Schizosaccharomyces pombe: one gene and its partners. The protein of the gene in region 3 interacts with the protein of the main gene of each other region in a biochemical or structural test. Each region holds a gene or a part of one and is shown on either strand. Other genes may lie near its edges.

Region 1 (4,060 bases), 3.0 Mb from region 3:
GGTATACACAATTTGAATAGAAGTCATATATATAACAAAAGCGCAACTTGTGACTAATAATTAGATTAAAAACAGTTAGAAATATAATAGTTATTATTTAATTTTTTAAAAGTCTTTGAGGAGCAAGCAAAAAGTCCAAGTGAGAACTCTGTTGTTCAGTCTCAGCATACAGTAGTGTCAATCGATAATATGTATTGCCGAGAGGGGACTGATGTCTTCATGTGTTGCTAGCAATAAAAAAAGATAACAAGGAAATTCGATAAATACATGTTCATTTGCAAAGTTTGCCATAATTTGCCATTATGTGTTTATATGGTAAATCTGCCAATCTGACATAAACATATTTAAAAAAAAAAAAAAAGAGGAACAAAATATGAATTTATCCCAGCTTCTTAGAAAAATAGCATAACCAGACTTCTTCATCATAACTTGCTTGTATTTTTTTTTGCTAATGTACAAAAGCAGCAACAATTAAAAATCTATAATTACAACTGTGTTTACATAGCAACAATTACATTCAAACCCTTATTTATCTTTAGCTATACAGCTATTCTCAAACGAATTTCTCAAGAGGCAACATAGTACTTGATAAAGATTCAAACTTGATACACTACATCTTGACCCTATCTTTGAGTTCAGTTGGTAACCCAAACTTAGAAGCATATGGAACAGAAGAAACGGAGAAGGCAGATATTCATGCACCCTCATTTTTGTTAACAAATTTATCTGCTGAGGTTTATGAGTAACGATTTTGCATGCATAAATTCTTTATTTAACGAGTAAAATTACGTTATTATTAGACACGATTTTGAATGCATGAAGAGCAGTGCATGCTAAATTAATAAATGGTAAAATTAAAGAAATTAGGTTATCTAGAATGTCAAACCTTAGGTTATTTAGAATGTCAAACCATAACGACAAAAGGTATTTTACATTTCTCAAGTCACTCGTAATCAATTCAATGTGAAAGAAAACAAAGGCGTTCATAAACTAGAATGTGATGTTAAGCGCCTAACAAAAATTTGTATAAGTATAATGTTAGATGCATTTTTCGAGTAAGAGAACAAGAACTCATACTACGACACGGGACTTGATAAAAGCAATAACGTCAGAAAAAAGCGAAATCTAATTTATAAACAAAAGAAAAAGAATTTTTTAAAGGAACACAAAAAAATTATTCATTTTCACGGAACGTTAAGTGGCTTTCATAAAATTGAAGCATCTTCTGAGGACATTTTTTATTGGTGATAGTACTAGGATGATGAGATATTGCACCGTTCTTCCAAGTCAGATAAATTTCCAAGGTTCCATCATCTTTTCGTTCAATTGTATCGATGCTAGATACCAAGTCTTCCCAAGAATCATAGTTTTCTACTTGTTTAACCGTCAGCTCTCTGTTGTCCGGAAGTTTGGGAACTTCCGGACTAGGCTTCTTTTTCGGAGTAACATTGCTAGGGGTCTCTGCTATTTGAATATCCTCACTTTCATTCGATTCTTTTTGTGAAGGAGATTTAGACTCATTGTCAGATTCAATGTGACCATTCGGCTGACCAGAAGGTGGGCCGTTCTCATTAAATTCCTCTTGCGATTTATCGGCGAATTTAATAGTTTTCTCATTCACATCTTCAATCTTTTCATTGGAATCTTTGTCGTGTTTATCTTCATCAGTTTTACGAGACTTTGGTGAAGGCTCCTTTGCTTCGGGCTTTTTAGGTCTTGCAGTCCTCTTTCTTTTAGAAGGTTCTGGTCTTCCTCCATGTTCATTCCAATATGCTTCTATCAACTGTTTGCAACCGCTACAATCGGCTTCTGAACTCCATGTATTATCACTGGGATCGTCATAACCTTCCCATTTCAAAAGGTATTCATAGCCTCCACCTTTTCTCGCCATACGGTGTTTTAAAACCTTTTCTACAACATATTCATCCTCTTCTTCTTCTTCTCCTCCTTCTTCTTCTTTGGCATTTTCTTTCAATTTCTTCGACGAAGATTTACTTTCATGATCGCTTTCAACTTCATTGTCCGACGACCCAGAGTCTGCTTTATGAGAAGCAATAGCCTCCTTTGTCATGCTTGGTAACTCTGGTTCCGAATCGTCGTCAATAACTGATCGTTTTGAAGTAGAGGAGCGCCGATAAGATCGAACACCTCCTTTCTTCATTTTTCACTTGTCTTAATATGAAAATAAACGAGATTTCAGAATATTTTAAAAAGTACTAAACATCAATTTCGCGTTGGTCTTTACAGGTTGTTTGCTCGTTTAGCGAGACATGTTTGGCTTGCTTTTCATGGTGTACAGAATGGCTAGCATCACATAGAGTTCGTTTATTAAAATATTGCATAGAAGTACTGTATTAATCGTTGTCTAAAAGTTGATTAACGACGCCTAATTTTGCTTAGATCACTATCAGTAATAATCATTATTTCAAAAGCATCTCAATTTCCTAGTGATTTACTTAATGCGAAATACGAAAATATTGAACAAATATTACCGTTAGAAATAAAATTAACATTTTAAGTAATGCTGCGAGTAACAAGATATTTGGCTGTTACGGTTGGCATGCTGATTTGTTTTCTAAAGCAATGCTGAGTCTCTCAAGATTGATAAACAATCTTAACTAGAAAACAATTCCACCTTTTAAATTTCGTAGGCAATCATCGTCAAACAACAAAATATATATTCTTATGAGGATTCTTTTTGCACTACATATTACACTGAATAACTTAAGTCGTCAACGAAGTCCCGAGTGGCTCAATCGGTTTAGAGCGTCTGACTCTTATGATGGTAATCAGAAGGTTGCGAGTTCGAGTCTCGCCTTGGGAGTTTATTTTTTCAATTTTTTTACAATGATACTACAATTTTTGGAATGTAAAGATTACTTAAATACAAAATGGTACGTTTAAAGAAATACGTACTTAGGGAAATTATGATAAATTCAACTTATTTGAGCACTCAAATATCAAAAAGAATGAGTAGTTGATGAAGTATCTTCAAAATTTCAAAAAACATGAACTTAGAGGCATCTGTACTGTTTTTGTAGACCATGGTTTATTAACATCTAAAAATAATGAAAAATAGCAAAAACATATGGTGTTGCATTAAAAAATTAGTAACGAATATGAAAGCATAAACATATGGTTTAGCCAGTCCAAAAATAACCCAATGTCTTGTATTGCAAGACACGGCTACCTAACATTTTCCAATCGCTGTTTTTTATCCACAGCTCCGATACGATCCGAATGCGATTGTATATACAAGCACCCTTCCAGGCAACAAATTGAGCATCCATACTTCTTGGTGGAGGAATTACCGAAATAGTAGGGATGTTGGCACGCTTGGAATGGATACGCTCTTCCAGTAAATGAGCAAAGCCCGGGAACTGACCAGCTCCACCGACGATCAAAATGCTTGAGTAAAGATTTTTTGCCTTCTCATCACTTAAATTTCCATCACATGCACTAAATATACTCTGGTTGATTGCATCATCCAAAGGATATATCAGTTTCTCATTCTTTATTTCTGGAGCAGCAAGTGAGCCACAATATACTACCCGTGGAGGCTTGAATTTTACCGAAGGTGTCACCAAATCACTTTCTTCTTTTTTCTCTTCATCATCTTTTCCATTAGCTTTGATGTTGGATATCGGCGTAGATATTTGCAATAAAGTGGTTTGGGCAAGTGATTCGGGATTATTCGGTTGGTTGTCATATACATCGACCGGCACTGGAAACAAAGTATACCGATCATGAAGTTTATTTTCATTTTCAAAAATGTCAGGGCGAAAGAATCCAAGAGGTGCAAGCATTGTTTCGTCAAGGCTTTTAAATGTAAATTTTCTAGTCCCTTTATCAGGTGTTCGCGAAAAGAAGCTATTCAATTGAACATTATAGGTTGCTTCACTTAGGCCACAATATTTTATTTTTAAAGCATTGGCTAAAGACCAATCATACGGAGTTTTTAAGTCAATATCCTGATACGGGAAATGACTTCTCATGAGTAATTTCATGAATAAAAGCGTAATGTCATCTCCTCCATAGTTTATTTTTATCCTTGAGTTGG
Region 2 (5,874 bases), on a different chromosome or scaffold from region 3:
CCGGTGGTTTTATCGTGTATTCTACTTGCAGTATTACTGTTGACGAAGATGAAGCAGTTATTCAATATGCTTTAAAGAAGCGCCCTAATGTTAAGCTAGTGTCCACTGGACTTGAATTTGGACGTGAAGGGTTTACCCGTTTTCGTGAAAAAAGATTTCATCCAAGTCTAAAGTTAACTAGACGTTATTATCCTCATGTTCACAATATAGACGGTTTTTTCGTTGCCAAACTGAAAAAGATTTCTGATAAAATCCCTACTGTAAATGTGGCTGATGATATGAAGGATGGAACAAATAATGATGTTGAAATTGAAAAGAATTCTACTGAAATTGATAATATTACTTTCAATGATGAAGCCGATAAGGAGATTATCGAGCAGAATCGTCGCAAATGGTTGAAGTCTAAAGGTTATAAGGTTGCAAAAAAAAAGGATTAGAATAATTTTGGTTAGGTTGGGATTACACAATAAAAGGTAACTGAACATTGATTCGCGTGTTACTACAACAATTATATTAATAGGTTGTCGTAAAGAGCCGGTCTTTATATTTTTGTATCAATCCATCTGGTTGTCAAATCTCAATTCAGTGGAATATTTTATTATAAAGTATTCTGGAATTTTTAGAATAAACTACATATAAATAATAAGAAAGTGAAGTAAATTTGTGAGTTTACCGGTGTCTCTTTTTAGATGGTCTTTCTTCAAAAGCATCGTGCTTAGCATCTTCTTGACGTGCTTTACGCTCCAATTCATCCCAATCTTCACCACTTTCTTCATCCTCCACTTCGCTTTCACTGTAACCATCCTCTTCACTAGCATCTTCGCTGTACTCCTCAGATTCTTCTTCCTCTTCATCAGAAGGGTCGGCATCAGAAGCTTCATACTCAGAAACCTCTTCGACACTATCATCTCCTTCATCATCACTCGGAGCTCCCAAAAATCCCCATCCTCCTTCTTCAAAGAATGCAATGGGGTCCTCGTTGACAGTTTTCATAATCGTGGTCCAGTTCAAATTAAGAGGACCTTCATAGAAGCATATATCGCATGAATCGAGCCATTCCTTTACATTATCTAATTGCTCCATTGGAATTGTATTGATATGAATCGGAGGGCGGCGGAAGTCTTGAAAGATGAAAACCAAATCAAAATTTTTTAAACCAAATTGTACACGCTCCAAGTGTGCAATTTCAATTTCGTTTAGTGTAATTACAGTAAATGGTGTGTCTGTCAATTGAACTAGGCAATCAGTAGTCGGCTGCAATAAAACATTGGAACGGAAGGGAACACCATTGAATGCAAGTTCGCGAAATGGAATGTCTAATTCAATTCGTCCCTCACTTGCTTCAGCGATTTTTTCAGCAAATGATTTAAATTCGCGATCTAATTGAGCACGACGCCGTCTTTCTTCTTGTTCTTGCTCCAATTCATCTTCATCACCATACATGTATTTCCGCTTCTTGTTTCCAGTTTCGTCAAACTGAATATCAGAAACTTCGCGATAAAATTGCACGTCCTGGGTCTTCCTTTTTCCCACCATGATCGGAGCTTTCAGATGAACATGAATAAGAACGATAAGCTCGCCTTCACATGGCTGGAAAAAGAGATGCTTCATATTAGAAAACAAAAGATCAATGTGGCTATCTGAACGTAATGGCGATTGATACCGAATACCATTTTGGTGTATCTCAATGAATCCAGGCAACCGTTTCCCGTCAATAGCAGGGCGAACGTAAACATCATTTATATGAGCAGGTCTCTTGTTCTTTATTTCAATTAATTTATCTTGCTCAATAACATCAGCAAACTCCTTACGTTCAGTTTCACGCTTGGTAGCTGCTTTCTTCATATCTTGGATGTCCTTGAATACTTGCGACATTCTAGAATTATTTGAACTTCTGAAAGTAAAGCTTCGTATGAATTGGGCATTAGGGTCCTCAAACGGTAACTCATCCTTTTTACCGCCAATCTGGCCAGGACTTACGAAATTTAGTCGTAAATACACAAAATTTCCCTCATCGTTTTTACTAGCATTTTTTAAAGTAGATATATGGAACGGGACAGGCCGACCGAAAATGGGTAAAATAATACTTTGAGCTCGATAATCTACTAGAATACGTAACTCACCAATTGCTTGTGGAAGTTGCGAGTCACGCTTGTACGACTCAAATCGTTTGACAGTGGGTTTTTCGATGCCGCTAGACGGAACAGAACCTTGAGCAAATCGTTGCAATCCCTCAGCCTGTTTTCGCGATGCTAGTTGCTTTTGATGCTCAACACGCCTCTTTTCAGCAGAATCATCCAAGTCTCTGGTTTCACTTCGAGTCTTTCCTTTATGACTTGATATAGTTGCCGTTCCCCGAGTAGGTGGTTTGCGTGGCTTTACGCCGTCTTCAAGAGAAGAATCATCTTCACCAAAGAAGTAGGATATATCACCTTGAGCTTTTGGAGAATCAGTAAATACGATTGGATCACTTCTTGTTATTTGAATTGTGTCAATCAATAAAAGAGCATACTCTTTAGACTGAGAATTTTTAGGATGAGGATTAATCAAATTCCCAAATCCAATGCTAAGATTTAGAGTCATCCCGGCTTGAAGAACGCGTGGGTTTTTGGCATTTACTAAAAGTGAAGATTCGCGAAATTCAATGCCAATGCCGGCACCTAGATTTCTTACAAAATTAGGTTCGAGATCAGGACGTTTAGCACGTATAAGACCCAAAATTTTCGTATATATGTCCCCAATAACAGCGCCATCTCTGCAGTATTCGAACAACTTTTTCTGAAGCGCTACTAAAAAAGAGTAATTTTTCTGTTGTTCGGAATCAGGATCAAATAAATAAGTGCGACCAACATTAGAACAATACGATTTGTAGCGAAACCCTAAAGAGCATAGGACGACGTCCCCATGAAGATTTCTATCATCTGTTATAGCAGAAGGCTTCAAATCATAACTACCCCCCGATTGAATAATGGGAGTATAACACCACTCTAGTTGATCCAAGTCTATGTCTCCTAGTTTCAAAGATTTTGTTTGAAAAAAAGCCTCGTTATCAATAAGGCTTTCCATCTGATCCGAAAACTTAGAGTGAGTTATTTTTTTTCCTTGGTCAATATAAGTCGAAAGTTCATCAACAAAATATTTACTCATAACCGCAACACTAACCCGCGATGCTCCTTTTATATTAGCAAGTTCTTGTTCGTCCTTTATAGCAAGACACTTTGCTAAGCCAAGCGATGCATCCACAAGATTAAATTCTGATTTCACTGGTTCAAAAATTGAGTCCCATTCATTAATGAATTTTCCTTGTGTTTTATCCTTAGGAAATACTCCGACCTTTTTATTGGTGGCTCTAATATACTCTATTATTTTTTCAAAAAGCTTTTTATTTTCCTCAGCATCTTTCGTTCTCTTCAAGATGTTAACGTCAGCTGCAGCCCCCTTGGTTTCAGCCAATTTCGTTAACATATTGGCCTTGTTAACTGATGTAAGGATTGTGATTCGATGCTTTTCAAGAAGTATTAAAGTCGATGGAAATTCATAACCCAAGAGCCATGTATGTAGTGCAGTGGACTTTTGATATGGATTCGTATCATCATGAGCCCCTACTGTTACTAAAATACTGTCGCAGTCTTGAAACAGCGTCTTTCCGTCTTCCTCATTCTTCCAGGAGGTAAGAAGTATGCCCAAGCGTTTATGAAATGTAATTTCGTCTATTTCATATTCAGCCATTTTACCTTTAATTAACGATTTAAGATATATTCACTCTTTAGCGAATAGTTATTTTATCTGAAAGGGCAAAAAGGCTTTTTCTTACAAAATTTCTTAAAATTTTGTAAAAAAGAAACAGGAATTGTTTTATTTTTTTTTTATTGATTGATAGCTTTTTTTGATATCTTGTGGATGGAGGTGGGTAAGTGGTAGTACTTTTGAATGTAGATATATAGGGCTGGGATTTCTGCGACGCGACTCGACTTACGCTGCATGTGTTCTAGCTTGATTATTTGAGCTTGTTAATGTTTATAATAGACCACAAGCATCATAAAAAAATAAAATTTATTTATTTATTTTTTGGTTCTTCAAGAGCAGGATGAATATCACGCTTTGCTGTATATAATCGTAAACGGTTGGACAAGCTTTATAATTTTTGGAGCACGAATACTATACATACATGTCTGAATACGTCTACGTACATATATGAGCTGTAGTAATTTAAAAAATCATTTACCTACGTCAAGCAATCCAAAGACAATAGATATTACTTAATGCTTTAGTTATTGAAAAGTGGCACAAATTCTGGAGCACTCAGCTTTAAACGGATTAAATTGATTTGCTTGGTAAAATGAACTGAGTAGAACAAATTATAAAACTACAACGCAAAACTAGTAAGCCATTTATAAAGATCATTTTTACCCGGTATACCTTTGCTTTAGATGAAACTAATTTTGAAATGCACCATTAAAAATAAGGTATATTAAGTGGTTTGTAACCCTTTTACGCGACTAACCAGTTAAATACCAATTTTATCTTAAAAGTATATACGGTATTATCCCCATGAAATTTTTAAAATGTTTTGTATAGCTGACGAACATCGTATTGAAGTGTTTTTGGCTTAAAGACAAAATTTAGTTTACTAAATCTTCAACCGTTACTGGTGGTAGTTTTAATTATACATGGCTAAATGGATCAGCAACTTTATTGTTAATTTAAATAATCCATAAGGAGCGATATCTTAAGCTTCGGAACAAATAATAGCAAGAAATACGTTTCATATCTGGTTATCATGATATTTTTGTCTTTCCAACCAGTGAAGTCAATAAAAATATAAGTTCTTGGGTCAACACGGAGTAACAAAATATACAAATATCTTAAATATAACTTTGTTGTAAGCCTTATTGGTGATATAGGGTATGGCTTAAAATTCAAAAAACGAATTTACAATTTATTAGAATTTGTTCAATATTTTTTATGAAACTTACCACGAAATACTGGATATAGTAATAATATATAGTAAATGCAAAATATGCGCTGCTATTAAAATCAATTTCTAGTGCTGATCCAGGTAATGCCACATTTCATGAAGAAAACAAAAAAACGAATATCCAGATCCTTATATCATGGATCTCATCCATTTTATGTAGGCAGAAAAACGAACTACTACTACGAAAAATGGGGTTCGGTTATATGAGTCCGTGAAAAAACGGCGCTTACATACACACGAACACTCATGCATATATAAAGAGTATGTTTACAAAACAAATAAAACGTTTTTTGTATCACAAAACCTCAAATTGGGTCTACTTGAGTTAATATCGTCTTTTTTGCGGTATATTTGTTCTCAATCCCTTTTCTTTCTGAGAATCCTTTGCATACCAAATTCGCTATTTGCTGAGGAAAATTTAACACATAAATTCTGCTTTATAACTATATTTAGGACCATTTATTTTACAAAATTTCCAGTCAATATCTATCATGCCGTATAACCCTCTTTATGAATCGCTTTCCAATCAGTTTGATCCTTCGCGGATAGAAACAGTATTGGATCCAATGGGCTATACCATCAAGCGTCGGGCTCTTCCAGTTAGTCTAACCATTGCCGGTTCTGATTGCAGTGGTGGTGCCGGAATTCAAGCTGATTTGAAGACCATGACCAGTTTAGGTGTATATGGTATGAGTGCTATTACTTGTTTAGTTGCTGAGAACGCTGGTGGAGTAGACTCTGTTGAGGAAATGTCTCCTGCCTTCGTAGAATCTCAAATCGATTGTTGCATTCGAGACATACCTTGTCATGTCGTGAAAACAGGTATGCTTGGCAGCCCTGAAATCGTTAAGGCAGTTGCACGTTCTGCCAAGAAATTCAACTTTTCGAAGCTGGTG
Region 3 (3,010 bases):
TACTCATTGCATCGTTTGGGAGTATCCCGAATTTATTTGTTGAACCGCACTTTAGCCAACTCTTATCGTGTTCAAGACGTTTTCCCTCCTGATTATAACATCCATATAATAGATTCTGACAATATTCCTTCTGAAGAATTATCTAGTGTTACCCTTTCCGCGGTCGTCTCGACAATTCCTGCAGATATTGAGCTTCCTGAAAAAGTTGCATCTGTTATTAAAGCTTTGCTTGCTAACAAAGCCGATGGTGGAGTATTCCTTGACATGGCTTACAAGCCCTTGCATACACCTCTAATGGCTGTTGCATCTGACTTGGAATGGAAATGTTGCAACGGATTGGAAGCTTTAGTTCGTCAAGGTCTTGCGTCTTTTCATTTGTGGACTGGAATGACAGCACCATTTGATGCTGTTTATCAAAAGGTTATTGAGTAAGTCAACAATTCAAATTTTCGATTTAGTTAGGTATTTTGAAATCTATTTTGATACAAATGTAGAATAAAAATACAGGAAGTAATTTTTTTTAGCACTTCAGCTAGTAGAATCAGGAAGCCAATTGACGCTTGGTATGTCAATGATCAGTAAGCAGTCGCAAAATGTATGAACGCTGTAAATTTACAACAACAAAAATAATCTTGTAGAAGTGGAAACATTACTGTACCATTTTGCATACCAACTTGTATCTACTTTCGACTACAAAATGAAGTATTTTGCGAAACGTGATAATTAAGTTTATTAAAGTGTGACATTCAAAGACATTGTTTGCAAAAAATAATATCACCTACAAAAGAAACTAGTCATAAAAACATATGCAGAACAAATCCAATTAAAAACAGAACTTATAAGACTGCTGAAAAAGGGAAAGTCGCAGAAAGAGGTAATAATCCACAAAAATTATATTGATAGATAATTCAAATTTCACGAACAATTGCACAACATTTATAGCAGACAGGGGTAAAAAAGGAATTAAGTGGTAAATAATAAAGTGATATACAAACAAGGAGAAAAAAATCAATGTAATAGGAGTTTAACCACCGAAACCATAAATGGTACGGCCTTGACGCTTCAAAGAATAGACAACGTCCAAAGAAGTGACAGTCTTACGCTTGGCATGCTCAGTATAGGTGACGGCATCGCGAATAACATTTTCTAAGAAGAGCTTGAGAACAGCACGAGTCTCTTCATAAACCAAAGCGGAAATACGCTTCACACCACCACGACGAGCAAGACGACGGATAGCAGGCTTAGTAATACCTTGAATGTTGTCACGAAGAATTTTACGGTGACGCTTAGCACCACCTTTTCCCAAACCTTTACCACCTTTACCACGACCAGACATGTTAAGAAGTAGAAAAAATTAAAATCTACGCAAAAAAACGCGTAATTCTTTAAGTATAATAAAGATAAAGGGGTTTTCCGTTGACTAACAAAGGAACAATGAATTTATAGATGTCAACAGATGTTAACGGTAGGATAAAAGTCAATGCAAATTGACAAAGGATTTTATCCGTATTCAAAAACAATTAAAAGAAATGATTGTCTGAAGAGAGGGAAGTTGGGGCGACGCTGTCTATTTGTTTTGAATCTGCATCAAAACCCTAACCCTGCTTTTGATGAGATCGGGTGGATTCAAAACATATATATAGCAAATATCTGCAGTACGCTTGCGTTTCCATTAATTCTAAAGATCAACAATTGGCAAAAGTAGCACAACAGCTATTTTTTTCTCGATTGTCTTTTTATTTGATATTCATTCTACTAGCTTGATATAATGGCTCGTACTAAACAAACAGCTCGTAAGTCTACCGGTGGTAAGGCACCCCGTAAGCAATTGGCCTCTAAGGCCGCTCGTAAGGCCGCTCCCGCTACCGGAGGTGTTAAGAAGCCTCATCGTTATCGTCCTGGTACTGTCGCTCTTCGTGAGATTCGTCGTTATCAAAAGTCTACTGAACTTTTAATTCGTAAGCTACCTTTCCAACGTTTGGTCCGTGAAATCGCCCAAGATTTCAAGACTGACTTGCGTTTCCAATCTTCTGCCATTGGTGCTCTCCAAGAAGCTGTTGAGGCCTACCTTGTCTCTCTATTTGAGGACACTAACTTGTGTGCTATTCACGGAAAACGTGTTACGATTCAACCCAAGGATATGCAGTTGGCTCGTCGTCTCCGTGGCGAACGCTCATAATTTTCTCCAGGACTTTTGGCAATTGTAATTGAGACTAAATTAATTTTGATTGACTGCTTGCCTGTATTATACTGTCACCCTTTGATATGTTGCTACCAATAAGTGAAAAGCAGGCTTCGTGAATAATTGTTGTTTTTGTTCTACATTACCAAGAGCTAGATGAACGTTCACTTTGATGGGAACGGATATGTGTTAATTTGGTTGTTTGAATTTATCTTCAATTATAGAAACTTGTCGTTAATTCATGCGAATGAATTCAGCCTTGAGAGTGACAAGTTTAGATAACACATTATGTACATTAATGAAAACTAATGACAACAAGTACCTTTATTTGAAACATGATTTCTTTTATTTCAAGTATCTGTTAAATTTATGTCTTTTGTTTTATAAAAGAATACAGAACTACGAAGACAATGCTTTTTTTAAAAATCTTTACACTTTTGGTATTGAGATTTGGTTGTTATCGCAGCATTCTTTATCGTTTAATGGCGGTTCGCATAAAGAATTGCACATATTTATATGAACAAACTGTTTTCAGGTATTTACGAACTGTTTAATAGCTTAATAGCTTTGATATATCGCGGAAAGATATTTTGCAAAGACAAATCGAGCATGTAATGAACTTATCGGCCGAAAAAAAATAGACAATTCGTGAAAAATAATCAGTCATTCTTTCCTGCTTGTTATGTAACCTCTCTTTAGAACCTGGAATTGCATTTATAAGAGAATTAACGGTCGTTTTAATTCTTATTTTTAAAAATTTAGAGCTTTCTTAAGCATAGTTGAACGAGTAAAAGTAGTCCTTTGTTAGCGACTTCATAATTAAGCCTT
Region 4 (3,746 bases), on a different chromosome or scaffold from region 3:
AGAAAGATATTGCGATTGTATTCGGAAAAGGCTTTTGGCTGTAAATCTCCTTAGGAAACGCTAATTTGATATTGGTATTTCAGCATTACCTTCTGCTTTGGTTTGTGAAAAACGAATCTGAATGCAATCATAGTTTTGATTTATACAATTTGAGTTTCAGAAATGTACAATTTTTTAGAGATTGTAGGCACTGTAAAAGCGTTGAACGAGTTGATATTTGACAGTTTCAAGCTGAATTTGATGTGCTATACATAAACAAAAAGCATGGCAGTGGCGCAAACTCAAATTTTCCTTTCAAAGAATATTTTGTTTAGCTACCAAAATCTTTTACCTGGTATCTTGACCTTGGTTTTAATGCTTTATTAAAATATGAAACCAATACAGCACTTTATGCAACTTTATAGCTGACCTTGAATAGAATAAAATACTGCAATTTTTTGAGTTTTACAACACAGTCTACATTCTGCATTTTTTGTGAGGAATATGTGCATCGGGTGCAACATTTCTAAGAAAAGCTTACAAAAAAACTGTAAAAATTTTAGCTGAATCTTATAGTTCTATCTTAGTAACCCACTCGTAATTCTAATTATTAAGTCCAAAGATCAACATTATGTAAATTTAATATGAGCCTCGTAATATTCAATAATTTTAAGAGGACATTTTTGGTGAATTATTATGTTATCGTGAGTTGAGACGTAACCATTTTTCCACTTTATTTTTGCAATTAGTTTACCATTATCAAGTTGTTGAACCGTTTTAACACAATCAACCAAATCTTCCCAGCTTTTCTTCTGAAAAGGAGGTTTAAAATTTTTTGAAGATTTATCAGATTTCATATATTTCTCAATTTTGCTTTGCTTTTCTTTCATAGAAGATTCAGATAAATCCGAGTCGACATAATCCGTAATACGATTTGCTGCATTCCTGCTTCTCCTTCTTTTATAAGATATAGAGTCATCAGAGTTTGAACTCTCATCTTTCTCAACATAGGAAGCTTCATTCGAAGATCGTGCGCGGCTTCGCGTCAATCGTATTAAAGACGAAAGATCTGGTTTACCTCCTCTAGATTCCCAGTATGCGTCTATTAATTCCAGACAGCCCGCACAATCTTCTTCATCATTCCATGTATTATCGGAAGGGTCATCGTACCCTTCCCATTTCAAATAATATTGGAAGCCTGATCCATCCTACATGGTTAGCAAGACAAGTATTAATGTTGCGCACCTTTTTCATCCTACTATCTAGAATCATTTCCACGGCGAATTCTTCATCTGAATTTTTATCTTCACTACCAGAACTAGCAATATACTCAAACCCTTCATTCAGAGGAACGGGTGATTGAGAGTTATGATCATCAGAACCACTAGTCTTTTCGAAATTTGAAGAAACAGAAGCAGAAGATGAACTTTTAAATTCGTTTTTGTAACTAGAAGATTCATCCTCTTCTTTTTTATCTTCAGAGTCTTCCATGTTAGAGATTGGAGACAATTTGGAACTTTTGACTTTTCTTATTTCACAACTGAACGACACATTGTGAGTCTTCTGAGACCCTGAATTTCCATGACTGTATAAGTCTAAAGAATTTTGAATATGGGTTTTTTCGGGAACACTAAGACCGTAAAGCGAAGGATGCCATGAACCATTTTGAGGACTTTCCAAACTCGCTGTCGAAGACTTATTGTTAATTGAATTTTCGGCTTCTTCAACAGTGAATGGTGGAGGACTAAAATTTTCATCACTTTCACTGATTATACTATTCATTAGGTCAAGGTCGGCACTTTTGACCATTATTAAGACTTTCCAGATATACCAACATAAATTATTAACCCTTCATATATCAATTAAAAATTTAATAAAAAATATTCTGCTCTAATTAATTTGATGCTGGTTATGCAATAATATTGCTGCTTATATGTTTATTTCGACGGATTCATTGATATTTTCTCCTCCCTTTATAAATACAGTTTTAAAAGATCCGCCAAGAAAAAGTATTTTGAATATAATTGACAGTTTTTATATATTGTGAAAGGACAACGGAAATTTTAGGTAAGGTTTATCACAAAGCGATTTACAATCCAGAAGTAGTATTAAGTGCAAGTCCTGCAATGTATTGGTTCAACTAAATATGAATACAGTATTAAAATAATAACCAATTTAGAATCGAAGTTCAAAAAAATTTGAAGATAAAGTGCTGTGCATAAAAATAACATACATGTAAAGGGTTAGGATGCTCAAGGTCCCATAATACGCTTGTCTTAAACAAATCTACCTATTGTTAAGGCAAGTAAGGGATGTATTAAAAGTGTTCATAGTTTTTCTGGAAAACTAAAAAATTGTAAATATATTATAAATCTTTTTTGTAAGCAATATTTAAAAGAAAGTATTATTTCATTTCTTTAAAACTTGTAATTAAAGATCTATCTACTATGCTTGGTTAATCAACAGAAAATATAGATATCAAGCTTCATGCAATAGCAAATATTGTGAAAACCAATTACTACCAAGTACTTTTTTTTGATATTCTATGAATTTCCTAGATACGTAAAGTGTATAACGATCTGACTTCCGTAGAGTTATCGATCTAATAATCGCTTAATTTATAAGTAGATATAAAAGCTAAACGGAATAGGTTGCCGATCCACGAATATTGAAATTATAGGGTATAATCAATTTAGAGCTGGATCAAATGTCCAAGCCAGCGATAACTGTTTTTTTATTAAATATTAGCAGACCAAAAGCAGCTTTGCAGCTTTGTTAAAAAAATTCGAGCTCAAAAGAATCATTATGAAAGTGGCTAATTTTGTTTTTGGTATTGAAACACCCATGAATCAAGCCATTTACGTCTCGTCCATTCATCAACGCTAAGGCTTTTATCTCCGTATGTCATTGGAGCGAAAAAGGTGAAACAATAAATAACGACAAAAATGAGTAGTAATGTACAGATGAGCTCTATTACATGACCGTATTTTCTATGACATTTGGAATGTCCTTTTTCATCGACATCTTTAGGAATCGGAACTCCTGCGGACACGGGTGATCGGAAGGATTTGCGACAGGCTAACTGTATAAATGCGCCTACAAGCAAGGAACCTGCCAAATGAGCAGGAAGATAATGGTGTAAAAACAATTGACGACCCATGATAAAGAATGGAAGATAATGAAAGACATAAGTCATGTAGAAAAACATAGTGGAACGGTAAAAGTGGTTACGGACAGTTTCAGGTAAAGTACGAATACCTCTTTGGCGAAGCAAAATTTCAGCTGCAGCGACCACCGTCGTACTCAAAACAGTACCGGCAATGATCCACCAACCGATAGGATTTCCCAATAAATATATTTGCTTGTTTTCCTCACTTTTAGCCCAAAACGCAATACCGTGGTGCAAAGTAAACCAATCAGAAGGATTAGAACTGTATGGATGAAACTCGGTTAACATATTATTTTGTCTAAACATTGTGAGTTGTAGCTCCAAATATTTTTTCCAAAATGGTAGTTTTTTAGGAATTTTTTTTTCCTTCTTCAATCGGCTATCTTTAAGTCCGATAATATCATCGAATGTCCAGAAAATTGACCCAGTTTGAATGTTTTTAGCACCATTGATTTCTAGCTGTTTAAATGCCCAATCTGGAAGTGGCTTTGGATCAGACCACATAGCCACATGAGTGAGTTTATGGATCAATTTGAAAGAAGAAGCTTTGGTATATAAAGGTCGCTGAGGATCAGTATTATCACTCATAACCACTTGA

Evidence for each region.
Region 1: the proteins of hht1 (region 3) and swi6 interact in a test that uses a peptide from one of them, tested with the Schizosaccharomyces pombe proteins (6 studies listed by BioGRID, with this or other methods).
Region 2: the proteins of hht1 (region 3) and spt16 form a complex in vitro, tested with the Schizosaccharomyces pombe proteins (one study listed by BioGRID).
Region 4: the proteins of hht1 (region 3) and chp2 interact in a test that uses a peptide from one of them, tested with the Schizosaccharomyces pombe proteins (4 studies listed by BioGRID, with this or other methods).

Annotation. Positions count from the first base shown.
Region 1 is NC_003424.3:1,701,841-1,705,900, forward strand, and holds swi6 (heterochromatin (HP1) family chromodomain protein Swi6), read right to left. Parts: upstream 2,259-4,060; 5' UTR 2,162-2,258; coding exon 1,175-2,161; 3' UTR 566-1,174; downstream 1-565. Other genes in the region: Ino80 complex actin-like protein Arp8, read right to left, coding at 3,141-4,060.
Region 2 is NC_003423.3:3,669,314-3,675,187, reverse strand, and holds spt16 (histone H2A-H2B chaperone, FACT complex subunit Spt16), read right to left. Parts: upstream 3,909-5,874; 5' UTR 3,730-3,908; coding exon 670-3,729; 3' UTR 566-669; downstream 1-565. Other genes in the region: RNA methyltransferase Nop2, read left to right, coding at 1-437; phosphomethylpyrimidine kinase Thi201, read left to right, coding at 5,470-5,874.
Region 3 is NC_003424.3:4,698,061-4,701,070, forward strand, and holds hht1 (histone H3 h3.1), read left to right. Parts: upstream 1-1,671; 5' UTR 1,672-1,768; coding exon 1,769-2,179; 3' UTR 2,180-2,500; downstream 2,501-3,010. Other genes in the region: multifunctional aromatic polypeptide Aro1, read left to right, coding at 1-432; hhf1 (histone H4 h4.1), read right to left, coding at 1,025-1,336. UniProt on the Schizosaccharomyces pombe protein: Core component of nucleosome. Nucleosomes wrap and compact DNA into chromatin, limiting DNA accessibility to the cellular machineries which require DNA as a template.
Region 4 is NC_003423.3:4,348,037-4,351,782, reverse strand, and holds chp2 (heterochromatin (HP1) family chromodomain protein Chp2), read right to left. Parts: upstream 1,789-3,746; coding exon 1,225-1,788; exon of another isoform or gene 1,188-1,224; coding exon 609-1,187; 3' UTR 539-608; downstream 1-538. Other genes in the region: ER membrane O-mannosyltransferase Ogm4, read right to left, coding at 2,795-3,746. UniProt on the Schizosaccharomyces pombe protein: Component of the kinetochore which plays a role in stabilizing microtubules and so allowing accurate chromosome segregation.